Mus musculus: one gene and its partners. The protein of the gene in region 3 purifies or fractionates together with the protein of the main gene of each other region. This does not show direct contact. Links are inferred from orthologs where the notes say so. Each region holds a gene or a part of one and is shown on either strand. Other genes may lie near its edges.

The links. Proteins that work in one complex are often made in the same cells at the same time.
Region 1: the proteins of Lin28a (region 3) and Zcchc3 purify together in Homo sapiens (co-immunoprecipitation; 3 studies listed by BioGRID and IntAct, with this or other methods). This does not show direct contact. The link is inferred for Mus musculus from reciprocal best matches to the Homo sapiens genes LIN28A and ZCCHC3.
Region 2: the proteins of Lin28a (region 3) and Krr1 purify together in Homo sapiens (affinity purification with mass spectrometry; 3 studies listed by BioGRID and IntAct, with this or other methods). This does not show direct contact. The link is inferred for Mus musculus from reciprocal best matches to the Homo sapiens genes LIN28A and KRR1.
Region 4: the proteins of Lin28a (region 3) and Cherp purify together in Homo sapiens (co-immunoprecipitation; 3 studies listed by BioGRID and IntAct, with this or other methods). This does not show direct contact. The link is inferred for Mus musculus from reciprocal best matches to the Homo sapiens genes LIN28A and CHERP.

Annotation. Positions count from the first base shown.
Region 1 is NC_000068.7:152,412,245-152,416,182, reverse strand, and holds the start of Zcchc3 (zinc finger CCHC domain-containing protein 3), read left to right. Parts: upstream 1-1,138; 5' UTR 1,139-1,405; coding exon 1,406-2,608; 3' UTR 2,609-3,938.
Region 2 is NC_000076.6:111,971,238-111,975,494, reverse strand, and holds the start of Krr1 (KRR1 small subunit processome component homolog), read right to left. Parts: upstream 2,801-4,257; 5' UTR 2,703-2,800; coding exon 2,621-2,702; intron 11-2,620; coding exon 1-10. UniProt on the Homo sapiens protein: Part of the small subunit (SSU) processome, first precursor of the small eukaryotic ribosomal subunit.
Region 3 is NC_000070.6:134,016,017-134,019,956, reverse strand, and holds the start of Lin28a (protein lin-28 homolog A), read left to right. Parts: upstream 1-1,140; 5' UTR 1,141-1,215; coding exon 1,216-1,246; intron 1,247-1,707; coding exon 1,708-1,904; intron 1,905-3,940. UniProt on the Homo sapiens protein: RNA-binding protein that inhibits processing of pre-let-7 miRNAs and regulates translation of mRNAs that control developmental timing, pluripotency and metabolism.
Region 4 is NC_000074.6:72,472,434-72,476,640, reverse strand, and holds the start of Cherp (calcium homeostasis endoplasmic reticulum protein), read left to right. Parts: upstream 1-1,407; 5' UTR 1,408-1,558; coding exon 1,559-1,583; intron 1,584-1,855; coding exon 1,856-2,029; intron 2,030-4,207. UniProt on the Homo sapiens protein: Involved in calcium homeostasis, growth and proliferation.

The DNA.
Region 1 (3,938 bases), on a different chromosome or scaffold from region 3:
AACTCATGTTCTCAGAGTTCTTTTCCACAGCTTCAAGGGCGGTCCTGAAGGTCTCAGCATTTACCATTTTTGTTGAGGAACACAGAACATAGTCTCCCCTCTTGGACGCATACTGTTTCTAACTATCATAGAGTCATTAACTTTAGCAGGGAGAGCGTTCCCCTAAAGGGGAACATGAAAACATGTAATTATTATTATACAAAGAAGCCTCACACCTGCAGCAACTGTCAACACTTGTGAAGGCCCACACCCCACTGGCTCCACTCCAGGAGTGGAAACCCTGTCATACTGTCCCTTCTGAAGCTAGTCTTCACTCTTCACATGGCTTCTAGCCCTGTTCATAGGGCAAATGATACTAATTTTGTTTTTTCTGTTAGCACCATGCTTTTTCCTCTTCCTCCAGGAAGAGATTCATAGGATTTCCCAAGTAACAGTCAACCAAATGCTCCCACACTCCTACCTCCCAATGAGCAGGACCCCGCCGACTCCGCCGACTCCGGACTCTCCCACCCCAGGCTGTCCCTTTTCAGCAGGAAGTAGCCAGATCTGAATCGTTGCCCCTATACTCAAAGAGGTTGGGATGTTAGGCTGGAACCCCTCATTTCCTGAGCAAGCAGGAAAACTCAGTCTGCCCTCCTTCTCCCAACCCCTCCTCCCTTGAAGAAAACTCCTGCTAACATATCACTCTTCTCCCCAGCTATCATTCATCTCCCAGCAACCCACCCAAAAGTGCCTGCCCAGGGACTTAGTTTTTGACCATGTATGGATACCATTCCTCCCCTAAACTCTATAAAACCCCCTTGCTTTAGCCCAGATGTGTAACTTCGCTGACCTCCACCTGTGAGATCGGTGACTCACATGAGAACTGCCTCCTAATAAACCTGCCTTTACCTACTTTTAATCGGGTCTAATCTGGTTTATTATGTGTGCCACTAAGAGGGAGAAAATGCCTATCATGTACATTGGAAAGTGTTGATTAGGTTATCAAAATTGGTGGGGAAAAAATGTGATGAGATCTGGGGGCCGCCATTTCTTTTGCTATTTCACAGAAGCCACTCAAAAGAGGAGCGAGATTGTAGCGAAGCCCTCACAGTGCGCGCAGGAAGCACTGCTCCTGGAATGCAGTTGAAGCCTGCTTGAGAAATGCCAAACCCTCGAGAGCGGTAGGGCGGGCGCTCGTCCGCAGAGGGGAGGCGAGCCGGGGTCAAGACGAGCCGTCTCCGGCCGGCACGAATTCCCGCACGCAAGACTTCCAAGAGGGCGGAAGCCAGAAGCGTCGGGTTTCAGAGCGGGGGCGGGGAGTCGCCCACGCAGCCCGCGGCCCTCATCCCTCATCCCGAGCGGGAGCGCGCCATGGGCACCTCGGACCGCGGGAACGAGTGGAGGATGCTGGGAAAGAGGTAACATGGCCACCGGCGGCGGAGCGGAGGAGGAGTCACAGCGGGGCCGGCCTCAGCTCCCGCTCCCCGCGCGACCCGTGGCCCGCGTCGAGGAACCCGAGGGCGTCCGCGAGAAGATGGGCTGGGCCCAGGTGGTCAAGAACCTGGCGGAGAAGAAGGGCGACTTCCGCGAGCCGCGGCGGCGCGACGAAACTGGCAGCGGTGCAAGTGGCGGGCTCGGCAGCCCCGGGGGCCTGGCCACCCCGAACCCCGGCGACTTCCCACCCGCCGCTCGCGGGGACCCAAAGGGCCGCCGCAGAGACCCTACGGGTGAGGCGTCAGACGCTTACAGGAAAAAGAGCGCGAGCGGCGCGGGAGACCCGAGTCGAAGGAAGAAGGCCGAGGTGACGGCGGCCATGGCGACCCCCGCCAGGCCCGGCACGACCGAAGATGCCACCGAGCGACCGCTCCAGGACGAGCCACCGGCTGCCGGCCCGGGTAAGGGCCGCTTCCTCGTGCGCATCTGTTTCCAGGGAGACGAAAGTGCCTGTCCGACCCGGGACTTCGTGGTGGGCGCGCTCATCCTGCGCTCCATCGGCATGGACCCTGACGACATCTACGCGGTCATTCAGATCCCCGGCAGCCGCGAGTTCGACGTGAGTTTCCGATCCGCCGAAAAGCTAGCCCTGTTTCTCCGCGTCTACGAGGAGAAGCGAGAGCTGGAGGACTGCTGGGAGAACTTTGTGGTTTTGGGGCGGAGCAGGTCCAGCCTGAAGACCCTCTTCATCCTCTTCCGGAACGAGACCGTGGACGTGGAGGACATCGTGACCTGGCTCAAGCGCCACTGCGACGTGCTGGCCGTGCCCGTGAAAGTGACCGACAGGTTCGGGATCTGGACCGGGGAGTACAAGTGCGAGATCGAGCTGCGCCAGGGGGAGGGCGGAGTGAGGCACCTGCCCGGGGCCTTCTTCTTGGGAGCGGAGAGGGGCTACAGCTGGTACAAGGGGCAGCCCAAGACGTGCTTTAAGTGTGGTTCCCGGACCCACATGAGCGGCACCTGCACGCAGGACAGGTGTTTCAGGTGCGGGGAAGAGGGGCACCTGAGCCCTTACTGCCGGAAGGTCATCGTGTGCAACCTCTGTGGCAAAAGAGGACACGCCTTTGCCCAGTGTCCCAAAGCAGTTCACAATTCCGTGACAGCTCAGCTCACCAGCGTGGCGGGGCACTGAAGGCGCGACTGCCTGCCAGGGTGAATACACTGCCAGCTTACCCCTCCCTTAAGTGCCAAAACTTTTTTTTTAACCTTTTTTTTTTTAATCGTTTTGAATGGAGATATTTCTAAAACCTACCAGAGACGTTCTCTCTATGCCTTTTTTAAACCGCGTGTGCTCCTTTTTGGCATGTTTGAAATGGTGAATTTTTGCCCGTAAGAACTATTCAGAACCATTGCATACAGATATATTTTTTTTCTCCCGGTTTGTATTTGTTTTTGGTACTTTCGTCTACTCCCCTCCCCACTCTACTTTTTATTTTACTACCTCCCTCCTCATACATTTAATCCTTAAAAGGTTTTAGCCCTTTGGGCCGCCTTGGTCATTATGCCTCCAGCCCAGGGTACTGGGCCCAACGCGGGATAGACACTCTTATCAAGTCTTTCATTGAATCAAAACGGTATCGACTGGCTTCTGTCAAAAGTGTCTACCTTTTGCAACTCTCTGCTGGGCCCTTTTTATTTGCTGCTTCTCTGTGGTATCAGACTTTGTGAAAACAGTGTTGCTAGAAGTGTGTATTCTGAATAAGCTCTGAATGGTGGCCAAGGGCCTCTCGTGGCAAAAAAAAAAAAAAAAAAAAATGTCCCTCCATTGTGACAGCTCCATGTGGTGGCTAAGAAGCCGAGTTTCTACAAGATCACAGAGCCTAGGCTTCCCTGCTGGAAAAGACCCAAGAGGTGGTTTTTGTTGAGTTTGGGAGGCGGGTTGCTTTTGGTTTTGTGTTTTGAGACAGGGTCTCAGTGTGTCTCCCGTAGGCCGGCTTGGACCGGCTGCATTCAGAGAACAGGCTAGCTGCAAACGTGCAGTAACTCTCCCTCCCGACTCTTGCCTTTGCCTCCCCGGACGGTGTTTTAAACTAACCTTTTGGTTTTCCAGCAGATAAAGTGAACCCAGAGAAGTTAAATTACAGGGACAAAGTACACAGCGCGGTGCCTCAGATAGCCCACAGTAGAGTCCCCTGACCCCAAGCCCGGTGCTCATCCCACTACCTCTCACACTTCACAACAATCTCCTCGACACTGCTGGGCCCAAAGTCCGCTCTCCACCGTGCGGACCCCAGCAGTGTGGAGAAATCATCCCGAAAGAGCCCAGAAAGCTCGCCCTGCTGCTTGGGAGCTAGGGAAGGAAGGGGCCAGGAGCACTCCAGGCTGCTTGCATCAGCCCTCGGAGTACCACATCTTGAATGTTCCAGGGCCATCCCTTTCCACTATCACTGTCACCAGTGAGAAACGGTTCCCCTCAGTAAAGAAACTTAGCAGACGTTTACATTTGCACCTCTGCCTCAGCC
Region 2 (4,257 bases), on a different chromosome or scaffold from region 3:
TCCGCCTCATCTACAGAGGAAAGAATTCACACATCACATGGAATGGTCCTTCACACACGTGCGCACTCTATGCACATCTTCAGAAGATCACCAATGCATTGTTTCATATCCGCATCCCTGGTTGTTACATTATTCAGCATCATGACCACGGCCCCATCATCATCATGATGCTGTAATAGGATCATCTGAATACATTGCAGTTGCCTCATCACAAGGATGCTTTCCCTGTACCCACTCTAACTGGGATGCACCGGTAGACAGCAATTACTAAGACACTTTCACTGCACAATAAAGTGGTTCAAACACCTTATCACTTTTATCCCTTATTATTAATAGCCTTTCTGACTTTCTTGGTACAGTCCTACCCCCACCCCCACATGTCTGTGTGTGTAAAAAATTCCTAAAAATGGATTCTGGTGTACAATGTCAATTAACAGCCACTGTAATACAATTTTAGGATTTCCAAAGAGCTTTATACACACCTTTCATCAATAAAAGAAAGCCACTATTACTATTTCTACTTTATAGAAGATATTCAAACCAAAAGGAGTGACAGGCCAGAAGGACAAATGCTGAAATGGCCTAAAATCCTGACAACTATGAGATCACCTCTGGAGAGCCTGCTTCACTTCTCAAAACTCCCTGTCCCAGAACTTTAGAAACCCCTCAAATCCAATAGCTACACGTTAACTCTACCCGAAGAGAACCATCCTTGATCTTGCAGCGTCAGCACACCTGTGGGAGTTTGTGGGCAAGGCCATCTGGGGCTCCATCTCAGGCAGAGTGAATCTGCATCTCTGGGGTGAGGCCCAGAGATCTGTGCTTAAACGTCATCCTGTCCTTAAACCACCGAGGTCTGAAAGGCAGGCCCTTGGCCCACGTTATTAGCCACAGGTAAGAAAATGTACTTTCTACTTCCACTCACTCTGCCACTTCTGGTTCAAACTCCTGACAATGGGTCCTCATAAACCACTCATTCTCCAATACCTTCTTTTTAAAAACTGCAAACTAAAATCCTATAAAAACTGGGAACATGGGCGGTTGTGGCACACGCCTCTAATCCCAGCACTTGGGAGGCAGAGGCAGGTGGATTTCTGAGTTCGAGGCCAGCCTGGTCTACAAAGTGAGTTCCAGGACAGCCAGGGCTACACAGAGAAACCCTGTCTCGAAAAACAAAAAAAAAAAAAAAACAAAAACAAAAACAAAACAAAACAAAACAAAACAAAAAGCAAGCAAGCAAACTCAGGCCCAGGGTTAAACCTTCCTAAGACAGAATGTGTGAACCCTAGTAGAGGAAAGGGAAGGGAACTAAGGCCACTTAGGACCAAGAATATCACTTGCTTATTAGGTTAGGGTGAAAGTCTAGCTATATAAGTACATCCAGGACCTCAAAATCAAAACACAACAACAACAAAAAAAATCACTGTAAATTTAGATCGATGAGCAATCTCAACTATTAGAGTTGTGCTGGCCCAGTTTCCCCTCCATGGTTGACTATACCCTCACGCTTTGAACGTAAACAAACCTTTCCTAAAACAGAAAAAAACCTGGCACAGCTCCTTCCGGTAGCATTAGCATAACTTGAAGATACCCTGCAATTGAGTTTCCAATCCTAAATTCCTACAGAGACCCTGAGGCATTACCAGAAGACATGCACAAAGGTGCTTACAAGAGCAAGCTGAAGGCAGAGCTCAAATGTCCGCCAACGACGGAATTTAAATATTACACAGCATCGTAAAGAATCAGAAGCTAAAGACACAGACAACATACATAGAGTACACAGCTCCATTCATTCTCCTATGATTCAAAAGGAGACAAAAATCGAAGCGTTTTGTTAAAAATCATAATAGCTGTAGATAGGTGACAGAAAGCTCGAACGAATTACTCCGGGTACCAGAAAGGAAGCTATATAGCATCTGTGATTGGCACATGGATAACTTGAGGAAGATGGTCTACTCATCCTGTCAATTCCTCAAGCGTTGGTTTGAAGCTTTTACCGGTGTCTATAGTCCCTGCCGTATTTTACGTACTTAGTTTTTAAAAGAAAAAAATTTTTCTTTTTAAATTGAAGGTAGGTAAAAACCAAACTCTCATCAAAACGGAAAGAAGCAATCAAACTAGAGCAGCCAAAAATCAAACTAGGGGTTAGAGCTAAAGACTGAGAGCTGTGTCATTTAGCAACTTAATAATCAGATAAAAGTTCTGACAAAACTTCCCATTGAGCTCCGTCCCCACCTTTCCCCGTCCGCCTCCCTCATCACCATCGGCGCTCGCAGGACACGAAGATTCTCCCACCTGATCCTGATCCGCATCCTCTCAACCTCCCCTCCCCAAAGCTCAAGGCAGAACTGCCGCGCCTTCCACAATCTCTGAGTCCTCACACTTTTACCGGGGACAGAAGGCGCATCGGGTACACTTGCCAGGGACGGTCGCTGGCAAAAACACTGCGTTAGCTGCACGTGGCCGGCGCAGCCATCAACACCCGCAACCCTCGGCTACCCCGGCTACCGCAGGCACTGCACAGCCTAAAAGAGGCTCAACCCAAGTGCGCGGCCAAAGAAAGAGACAAAGATGCTTCGAGATCCGCCAGCTCCGGGCTTCGGGTCTCGCACTGCCTCACCTTGGGTCTCACGCTTCTGTTTCTGCGGCTGAGAGTCACGTTTTTGAGCTTCTTTGGCAGGCGCCTCCGCAGAAGTTGCCATCGCAAAACTGCTTCCGGCGGCCCCGGAAGTGGAACTGTTCTTTAAGATCCCGCCGGCTACAATGTGTAAAAGGCAAAACGAGTTCCGGATAATCCCTATGAGACCTGCGTGGTCTCTGCTCTGACGAACAGGAAGCCGATGGGGCGGGGACGGGGGGGAGCGTGACACTTCCTTCCCAGGATGCATTGCAACCTCGGTGTTGCACGCTGGGAATGGTAGTTTTCTTGTATCAAGCTCTAAATTGTAGCTACTTGTATAGCCCTGTGGGAACTTCTTTTTTGAGAGGGGAAGGGAAGGAAAGGGAGAGAAAGGGAGCGAAGGAGAGGAGAGAGAAGAGAGGTGGGTGAGGGTGAGGGAGAGAAGGGAGGGGAAATTATTAAAATTCTTATTTGAGGGGGATTAGAAATCTAATGAAAATGGCGAATTGTATCAAAAATCTACCCAAACTTTGCTACCACTCTTTAGCCCATTTGAAAACCTACCATGAGTTTTGCATTTTAAATCTCTCAACTTCCAGATTGGTTTTAAAAGACTTTTCTGTTCTATTTTTATTTATTTGTTTGCTTGCTTGTTTTGTTTATTTTGGGTTTATGAATCGAGGCCACTGTGTATCCTTCACTAGCCTGGAACATGCTATGTAGACCTGGCTGGCCTCAACGTCATAGTGATCTTCCTGCTTATGACTCCAGAATCTGGGATTAAAGGTGTGTACCACCACACCGGTCTTCAGCATTCAAATGTTTGGGGTTTTTTGGTGGGGGCTGGAGGGAGCTATTACCAAAACTTTATTGTTTATTATTCTTACATCATAGCTTTAAAAGGCTTAGAATATAGTCAGTAAAAACAGCAAAAAAATATTAGCACAAAAATATATTCACTAAATTAGATGCTAAGATGTGAAGAGATGTAACCAGGGTCTGAAAACACACTAGGACCTCTCCTTCTGGACCATGCTCTCCCCAACCTCCAGGAAATATTTAATAAGCACATGGGTCAATAAGCCAGATAAAGGAAAGAGGAGTACCCGCATATGCCTAGTAAAACTGAGAACAATACTTCAGGTGCTTAGATCGGTGGTTTTCAACCTGTGGATTGTGACTCCTTAGAGGGTCAAACTACCTTTCACAGGGGTCGTCTAAGACCATCAGAACGCACATGTATATAGACATTATAATTCATAACAGTAGCAAAGTTGGACGTAATAACGAAATGATTTTGTGGTTCAGGGATCACAGAAACATGCAGAACTATACTGAAGAGTTGCAGCATTAGGAAGGTTGGTAACCACTGGATTCGACTATGTTTTGAACAAATTTTAAGGGAAATTCTCTGTATGCAAACTGATGCCTCATAATGGTGCACCCATTCCAGTCTCTTTGAGAATCAAATGTAGTTAGTATTATGTTTGAATGGTTATGAGCTTCGAGCTTCTTTCAAAGAGTGCTTTTCACACATGGGTGTGTGGGTCTGGGTTCCTTTCACTGGAAAGAGGCTGTTGGCCTCACTTCAACTTCTTCCAAGCCCTTGTTATTTTTTTTAAGTTGACAGCATAATA
Region 3 (3,940 bases):
ATGGTGACTGAGAACAGGAGGGTCTGGGAATTAGAGTGTCCCGGGTCTTGGAGGAAGTGCCTCCACCCACCAATCTATTCTCTTCCACCAACGGATGGGACAGGACGGGACGCGGCAGGCAGGGGCCCGATGAGAACACAGCTACCACAGAGGGCATTCTTCGAGGTTTCCACATGCTCTCTCAGGGAGCTGTACCTGGAAGCAACTTTAGGTGTAGGCTTAGGAGGGAGCGAAGGACTCTTTGCACAGAATCAACTAGGAGCTTGTTTCTCACTGGGACAAACCCAGAGAAACTGTTGTTGAAATTTGGAGATTGAGGCATCCAGTAGCACCCAGAGACAGGCCGAGTTTGAGAGGCAGCACCTAGGTTAAGACAGATCAGCTCGGTGGGGTCTCCAGCCGCTTCCTTGCACCCCTATCCCGGCTTCCTAATGTCCAGAACTCCAGGTCTATCTAAGCACACGGAGGTGGGGGGTGAGAGCAGGTCAGCGCCAAGCAGCCGGGTCAGCTCTGAGGCCTGAGGGGAAAGAGGGGGAGGGGCGCTGAGGGGCTGGGGGAGGGGGAGGGCTCATCCATTTCTCCCTTGACAGGTGGTTTGTGTTTCTGATTGGACAGCGCCACCAGGCTCACACCTCCCTCCCCCAACTCTCTGGAATGTATAATTATCTGCCCGGGGGGTGGGGGTGGTGTGTGTGTGTGTGTGTGTGTGTGTGTGTGTGTGTGTGTGTGTGTGTGTGTGTGGTCACGTGGTTATAAAACTACCCCCCCCCCGTTCCCCCCCACCTGTGTCCGCTTTGGATGCCCGCATTGAGTCCTCAAAGTGCAGGATCCCAAATTCTGGGGTACTGAAGACTTCCAGTGCAAAAGATCCCCATCTCCAGATGTGTGTATGTGGAGGGGGTGTCAAATCTCAAGGTTCTGGGAAGGGACACCCCAGAGGTGTCAGAGACCAGAGCAGTGGGGGAGGGCCGAAGCCAGAGCCAGAGGGAAAGGGAGGGGTAAGGAGAGAGGGGAGGGGAGGGGGCTGCCCGCGGGGGGTTGGGTCATTGTCTTTTAGAATTTGGGAGCCTTTGAAAAGCCGTGGGCCCTCCCACCGCTATTGTGCGGGGGAAGATGTAGCAGCCTCTTCTCCGAACCACCCCTTTGCCTCCGGACTTCTCTGGGGCCAGCAGCCGCCCGACCTGGGGCCCGGGGCCACGGGCTCAGCAGACGACCATGGGCTCGGTGTCCAACCAGCAGTTTGCAGGTTCGAGCTTGCGATTCAGCGGGCACACCTTAGGGTGCAGGGAGCCCAATGTCTAAATAGAAGGGAGGTGGGAAAGTGTCCCACGGACTTGTCCGCGGGACCCCCAAGTCCCTATGGCCTCCTGCTTCTGGGGGCCATCTCTGGACTAGGGAACCCTGGTGTTCCAGTGGCTTGTACACCGAGCCCGTGGGGGCGGAGGGAGAGAAGAGGAGGGGCCTGTCCCTCCGCGTGTGCACGGGCAACTTGTTGTGGGAAGACAAGCAAAACTTTTGGGGCGTCAGCATCCTCTGTGTAAGCTTGGGGAGGCAGCCAGGACAGGTTTCTTCTTACCAGCTGCTTGGTAGCTGCCTCCTCCTGGGTGTCTATCCGCGGGCTGACCACCGAGATCTCCCAGACGGGTCCCTGAGAGGGCCTGCGATCCCTTGGCCCCCAGCTGATCACCTGGCCCTCCCTATCTCCAGGTGGCTGCGCCAAGGCAGCGGAGAAGGCGCCAGAGGAGGCGCCGCCTGACGCGGCCCGAGCGGCAGACGAGCCGCAGCTGCTGCACGGGGCCGGCATCTGTAAGTGGTTCAACGTGCGCATGGGGTTCGGCTTCCTGTCTATGACCGCCCGCGCTGGGGTCGCGCTCGACCCCCCGGTGGACGTCTTTGTGCACCAGGTGAGACTCATTCTGGAACTTTGCTAGGGGAAAAAAAAGAAAAAGGCTGGGAGTTCCGAGGTACGGCCTTGGCTGGTGGCCCCTCCTGTCGGATTGGAGGAGATAAATACCCCTCATTGTGCGTCCCCATATTTTTCGGGACACCCCAGTTTTGAGTTTGTAGTAACTGCAGTTGTGCGAGGAGGCACTGCTGACTACCAGCACCCCCTCCCCGCCCCCTTCCGGGAACCCCTCCGGCTTACCACGTGTCTATTACCTCTTTCCCCTGGGAAGGGAGCAGGGGGCAGGGAGGTGACCCCATGTGGCAGAAACTAAGGTTGTATTGTGCTTGCCGGTGGGGGAGGGCCAGCAGGCCGACCAGGGAAGCACATGCAGGGCCTGAGCCGGGCGTTAGCGCCCTGAGTTCTAAAGGTCTGAGTCTAATTCATAGGGAGGAGAGAGTGTGAGCCATTTGCTACCCAACCTACGGGCGTGAACCTGCGACGTCAGGTTCTTCCCGTTTCAATGCAGACCTCAAGTCAGGTGGCCACCCAAAGCCAGGTCCTGTAGCCAGTGTAGGTTTGGCAGGTCCCGGAAGGATCAACGTGTGAGCTGAAAAGCTCCCCTAGAGGTCTGGCTACAGATCAGGGCTGGCAGGCACCTCTAGCTGTCCACCCGGTTCTGCCAGGAAGGAAGACCTTAAGATCCCAGGCCTTCATTCCTTGGCCGTGGCAATCCCAAGTTCGCAGTTAAAGAAGGGCTACACAGTAGGGAGTGAAATTCAGTGTCGAGGGGGCAGGCGGTAGAGGAAGACTGGCCTCTGGCCCTATTCTCCTCAGCTTGGCATTTATGGCCCCAGACAGCCATTGATTGCTGTCCCTAACATTCCTAACCCTAAACAAGGAAGAGAGTAGAGCCTTCAGGTTTCCCTCTTCCCGGCCATTCCCTTTCTTAATATCCTACCGGGGGCGGGGTGTGTGTGTGGGGGAGTGGTACCATTCCACGCTGGAAAGGAAGTTACTGCTCCTGCCCTTTTCCACATTTGGTGGGTTAAGGCTGGGCCAGGAAAGAAGAAAATTGCTAATCCCTGGCCTGCGAGCTTGACACCCGGGCCGGGCAGGGAGGGGTTACTTCAGGGAGGTTAGCTTTAGGAGCTGTGGGGGAGGGGAAAGGAGGATGTGGGGATTAAGGGTTGGAGCCTGAGGGATGGCGTTCTTGAGGGGGAGGGGTGGGGAAGGAGATGCTGGGTGGACTGGTTGGGGGCTGCTGGGAAGGCTGAACCCTGCCCTCCAGTCAGAGGTTGGGGAGTGGAAACTAAGTAGATTTGGGTTGATGGAATTTGAGGACCAGCTCTTTGCTGTTGGTGTCCTAGGGTCACTAGGCTTCTGGAATATGTGTTTTGTTTCTTTTTTAAGGGACCTGGAACAGTACCTTTAACTTTTCTGCACCGCCCCCCCCCATCACCATCACCAGACTGCTGGTTTCTGGATGGTGGCTTTGTGCCCCCCATCTCATTTGCATATGTGAATGATAACCCACAGGAAGTAATTGTGAGGCAGAAGGGAATTGGCCTCTTTAGATCTATTAAATCACTTTATTGCAGGAACCCGCACTGAATGGCCCTCCTCAGCGGGGGGCAAGCCTCCCCGATTCGGCCATTTATCTGATCCCAGAGATGAAAATTTCCTGGGCTCGAGATGGTTTGGGGAACTTCTTCAATTTTTGGAGGCTGGGGTGTAAAGGTGGCTTGAGCACTTTCCTGACTCCTTGCAAAGGCTAAGTAGGGAGGTGCCCGGGAGAATAGGTACCTTCTGATCTGAGGTTCATTGCTGTTGGGACAAATGGAGACGCTGTGCCTCCTCACTTAGGAGCCATACCAACTGGGAAGCTATAGGACATCTCAGGAGGCAGCCTTCAGTACAGACTGGCTTGGAGACCTGCCTGCGTTCGTTCGTGGGCTTTGACTTTGGTTTCTTTGGGGTTTTTTTGTTTTTGTTTTGTTTTGTTTTTGAGACGAGGCTGGTGGTGGTGGAGGTGTCTCACTGTGTAACTGTGGC
Region 4 (4,207 bases), on a different chromosome or scaffold from region 3:
AGAAAGAAAGAAAGAAAAAAGAATCTTCTGGAACTATCTCAGGTGAGCATGAGGGAGACAGTCCGGGCAGATACAGACTTCTATTTACTGTGAGCCACACAGAGTCCCTACAAGGTCACAATAGTCTTTGGGGATTGCAGGCCTGTGCTGCTGTTGTCTGGTTTTTACACTGAATTCTTGGACCTGAACTCAGGTGGTCCTGCTCCCATGACAAGCACATCACCATTGAGCTATCTCTGCAGCTCCAAGAGTAGGACATTATAAAGGGGCTTCACAGCAGGCAAGACAGGAGTTACAGGAAGGGCATAGGGATCAGGATACCTGCTAGGCTCAACTTCCTCCTTCCTCCTCATATAATCGTGGTGTGGTGCTTCCAGCAGTAAGAATATCCAATTAGGAAAAGTCGGAGACCCTGGCATAACAGGCTCAAAGGATCACTAAGGGCTTAGTGGCCAGCACAAACTCAGAAAGTAAATCATGCCAGTGCTGTAGATCCTGTGCCTGCTTCCAGCTTCTTTAGGCCCTGAAGTCACGTACACAAACCCACCTGACACATAATTAAACCTTTGTTTTCGAGACAGGGTTTCTCTGTATAGTCCTGGCTATCCTGAAACTCTTTGTAGACCAAATTGGTTTTGAACTTGAGATCTGTCTGCCACTGCCTCCCAAGTGTTGAGACTAAAGGCGTGCGCTACCATGCCCGGCAAAATATAAATCTTTTTTTCTTTCTAAAGGTCGATGGTATATCTCAGTGATTGCCTAACATGCAGCCAGTCCTGTCTTCCATCCCCAGTATCCTGTAACCCTGGTGTGGTGGTGGCACACGCCTGTCATCTCAGTACTTAAGAGCTAAGAGGAGGATCGGGAGTGCAAGATTATCTAAGGCTGTGTGGGGAGTTAGAGATCAGCTTGGGCTCTATGAGACCTAATATTCAAAAACCAGGAGTAAGTAATAATATAAATAAACAGAAGGGATGGGGTGTTGACGCAGCTTCCGCTTCTCCTTCCATAGAACGTCTATAGTCGCTTCAGAAGAGATGTCTTTGCTCCACGTCGGTCTGATGTGATGTTGTGGAGCCCCAATGCTCAAAATTCTTACCCAGAAGGAGCATATCGGAACAGGAGCCGAGTGAGGTGTGATTCGCCAAAACCATCACCTGCCGATCCCGCCTTCTGGATGGCGTAAAAGGATGTGAAAGACGCAGAGGCCTGGGAGTGCACGCGTTCGCAAGAACGCAGCAGAAACCCAGAGTACCGCCGGCGCAGCTTCTCACGCTCCAGCGCGTCGGGGAACAGCGGCCGGGCCGCCGCATGCGCAAAGAGGCTCACGCGCATGCGTCTCACTAGGCCATCCTTCTCTGGAGTCCTCACGCAGTCCCTTCCCGCCCTCCTCCGGTCTTCACTTCCGGTGTTTCCCAGCGACAGCCGTAAATGGCGCGCGAAGCGGCCCGCGAGGCCGTCGTAAACGTCGCCCTTCGCGCCACTTCCGGCCGGCTTCTGTGGCCGGTGCTGGTAAGCGATCGTGAGGCGGCGGAGGACGTTGCCAGTGGCTGCAGCCATGGAGATGCCGATGCCGCCAGATGGTGAGGCCGGTCCCTGAGCTGAGGTCGTTGGGTTCTTCTCGTGTGCCCCCGCCGGCCAGCCGTGCCTCCTCGCGTTGCCGGGCCAGTGACGGAGCGCGCTGCGGCCTCGCCGCTCCTCCCTCGGCCTCTCCGTGGTTCCCCGCATTCCTGGCGCGCGCTTGGCCCTAGTCAGGACCCGTACACCACCGCCTTGCAGTGGCCCGCCCCAGAGGACCCCGGCCTGGTCCCCGGGTCAGGCTGCCCCCACTGACGCCTTTTCCTCTGTTTTGCAGATCAGGAGCTTCGAAATGTCATCGATAAGCTCGCTCAGTTTGTGGCTCGCAACGGACCCGAGTTCGAGAAAATGACGATGGAGAAGCAGAAGGACAACCCTAAGTTCTCGTTTCTGTTTGGAGGCGAGTTCTACAGTTACTACAAGTGCAAGCTGGCACTGGAGCAGCAACAGCGTGAGTTCCCCTCAGGCCCTCAGCCGCCTCGGGGTTCAATGCGGGCCCCGCCGCAGCCAATTTCTTTAGAGTTGCAAGTTTCCTCTGCAGAGCAGAGCAGCCGTTCTTCTGTCCTACCCGGAGCCCTGTACCAAGATAGACTGCTGGATCTGTGTGTCATAAGGAGAGACTATCATATATTCTCTATCCAGGCTTTTGGGTCGGGAGTGGTCCCTGGGTGGTCTTTGCAGAGGCAATTGCGGATCTGCAGGAAGGTGGGAACTGTGCAAACTGTGCAGCCTTTCTGCAGGCTGAGACCATAGCTTTCTGCATTTCAGGTGCATAGATCAAAAAGCTTTCCCTTTAGTTTTTGCAACGTTTTTCTTTTCCTTTTTTTTTTTTTTTTTTTTTTGCTTTCGAGATAGGGTTTCTCTGTGTAGTCCTGACTGTTCTAGAGCTAGTTTTGTAAACTAGATTTAAACATCAAGAAAAATATGATTAAAAATAATAGAAATAATAAAAAGTTTAGAGCCAGGGATGATGGGACCACCGCTTTAATCTCAACACTTAGAAGGCAAAGGCAGGTCGATCTCTGTGAGTTTGTGGCCAACTGATTGTACAAGTTCCAGTACAGGCAAGACTACATAGACTGCCTAAAAAAAAAAAAAAAAAAAAACAAAAGAAAAAGGAAAATGAGTGAAGAAGCACAGCTGGTCTTTAAGGGCCTCACACCATATCCCAGGTTGGCCTGGCAGTATGTTATCCAGCCTAGCTTCCAGTTCAAAGCAGCCTTCCTGCATCAGCTTTTCAGCATACCCAAGCTTTGAATAGTAACAGCAGATTTTATGGTTTCTGAGAGCAGAACTCACATCTGTCATATCTAGGGTAGCTCTCTAGTCTCTGAATAAACTGTGGAAATAAGTGTCTGGACTTGCAAAGCCAATGAGTAGTCAGAGTGATAGTGGCTGAGCTACAGTCCTCTTTGATGCCAAACATACTTGGTTATACTCCAGCAATGTATTGTAGGTGGTTGATAGAAAGCTTGTAGGGCAGGCAGACTTGAGCCCATGGAGCACAGGGACTTGAAGAAGGTATGTATTCAGAGAGGAGACATCACACATGTGAACTGAGGGGTTTTTCATATGCCAAGGAGGGGTAGGACTAGAGTCTATTGATCATAAGGTTTTGGTTCCTATTCAGTTGTGGTAGAGGTTGACATCACCATCAGAGTGTCTGTGTCCTCATGCGTGTTTAGAGAGGTCATTCCTTAGCCCCAGAGCACCAAGTTCATAGCCATCCTAAAGCTGATGGCGGTTGAAACAGATTCCAGCAGTGTGTTCTAGTGGACAGACTGGAATTAGGAAAGGTGGTGATCATGAACATGGAAGTGGGAGAGGTCGAAGGTAGAGCCATTGAGGATGGGTAAGGGATGGTAAGTGAAAGGAGTTTAGACCGTGCCTTATTATATATCCCTATACAGGAAGCCTGTGCCCACCCCTGTACAGTCACTTGTTTAGGCTTTCAACTTAAAACCATACCTGGGGGTGGGTGGGTATGGGGGACTTTTGGTATAGCATTGGAAATGTAAATGAGCTAAATACCTAATAAAAAATGAAAAAAAAAAACATACCTGGAAATGGAGAATACATGTAAGCTTTGGCACATTAGGGATTGGGAGACAAGAGGACATTCTGCCAGCCATAGCACAGTAGAATGAATATATTGGACATGACAGGGACAAGGCAGGCTGAGGGTGGTGGGTGGTGGAAGTCAAGAGAGATTGGGTTTAGACACAAGGGAGATACGCAGTAGAGAGGACCTGCTTTGCTGAGGAGCTATGAGCATTGCTTAGAAGTAACAAGGCTCAGAAAGGGCTTCAGGTCAACTAAACCCAGGACTGTTCTAGAATGACATTTTGTAAGAATTGTGGTAAAGCACTAGTCAGCTGGGTGTGGTGGTACATACCTTTAATCCCTGCACTCGGGGGACAGAGGCAGGTGAATCTCTTGAGTTAAGGCTAGCTTGGTCTACAGAGAGTTTTTTTCCCTTTTTTGTTTGTTTGGTTGGTTGGTTTTCTTCTTCTTTTTTTTTTTTTTTAAAGATTTATTTATTATTATATGTAAGTACACCGTAGCTGTCTTCAGACACTCCAGAAGAGGGAGTCAGATCTTGTTACAGATGGTTGTGAGCCACCATGTG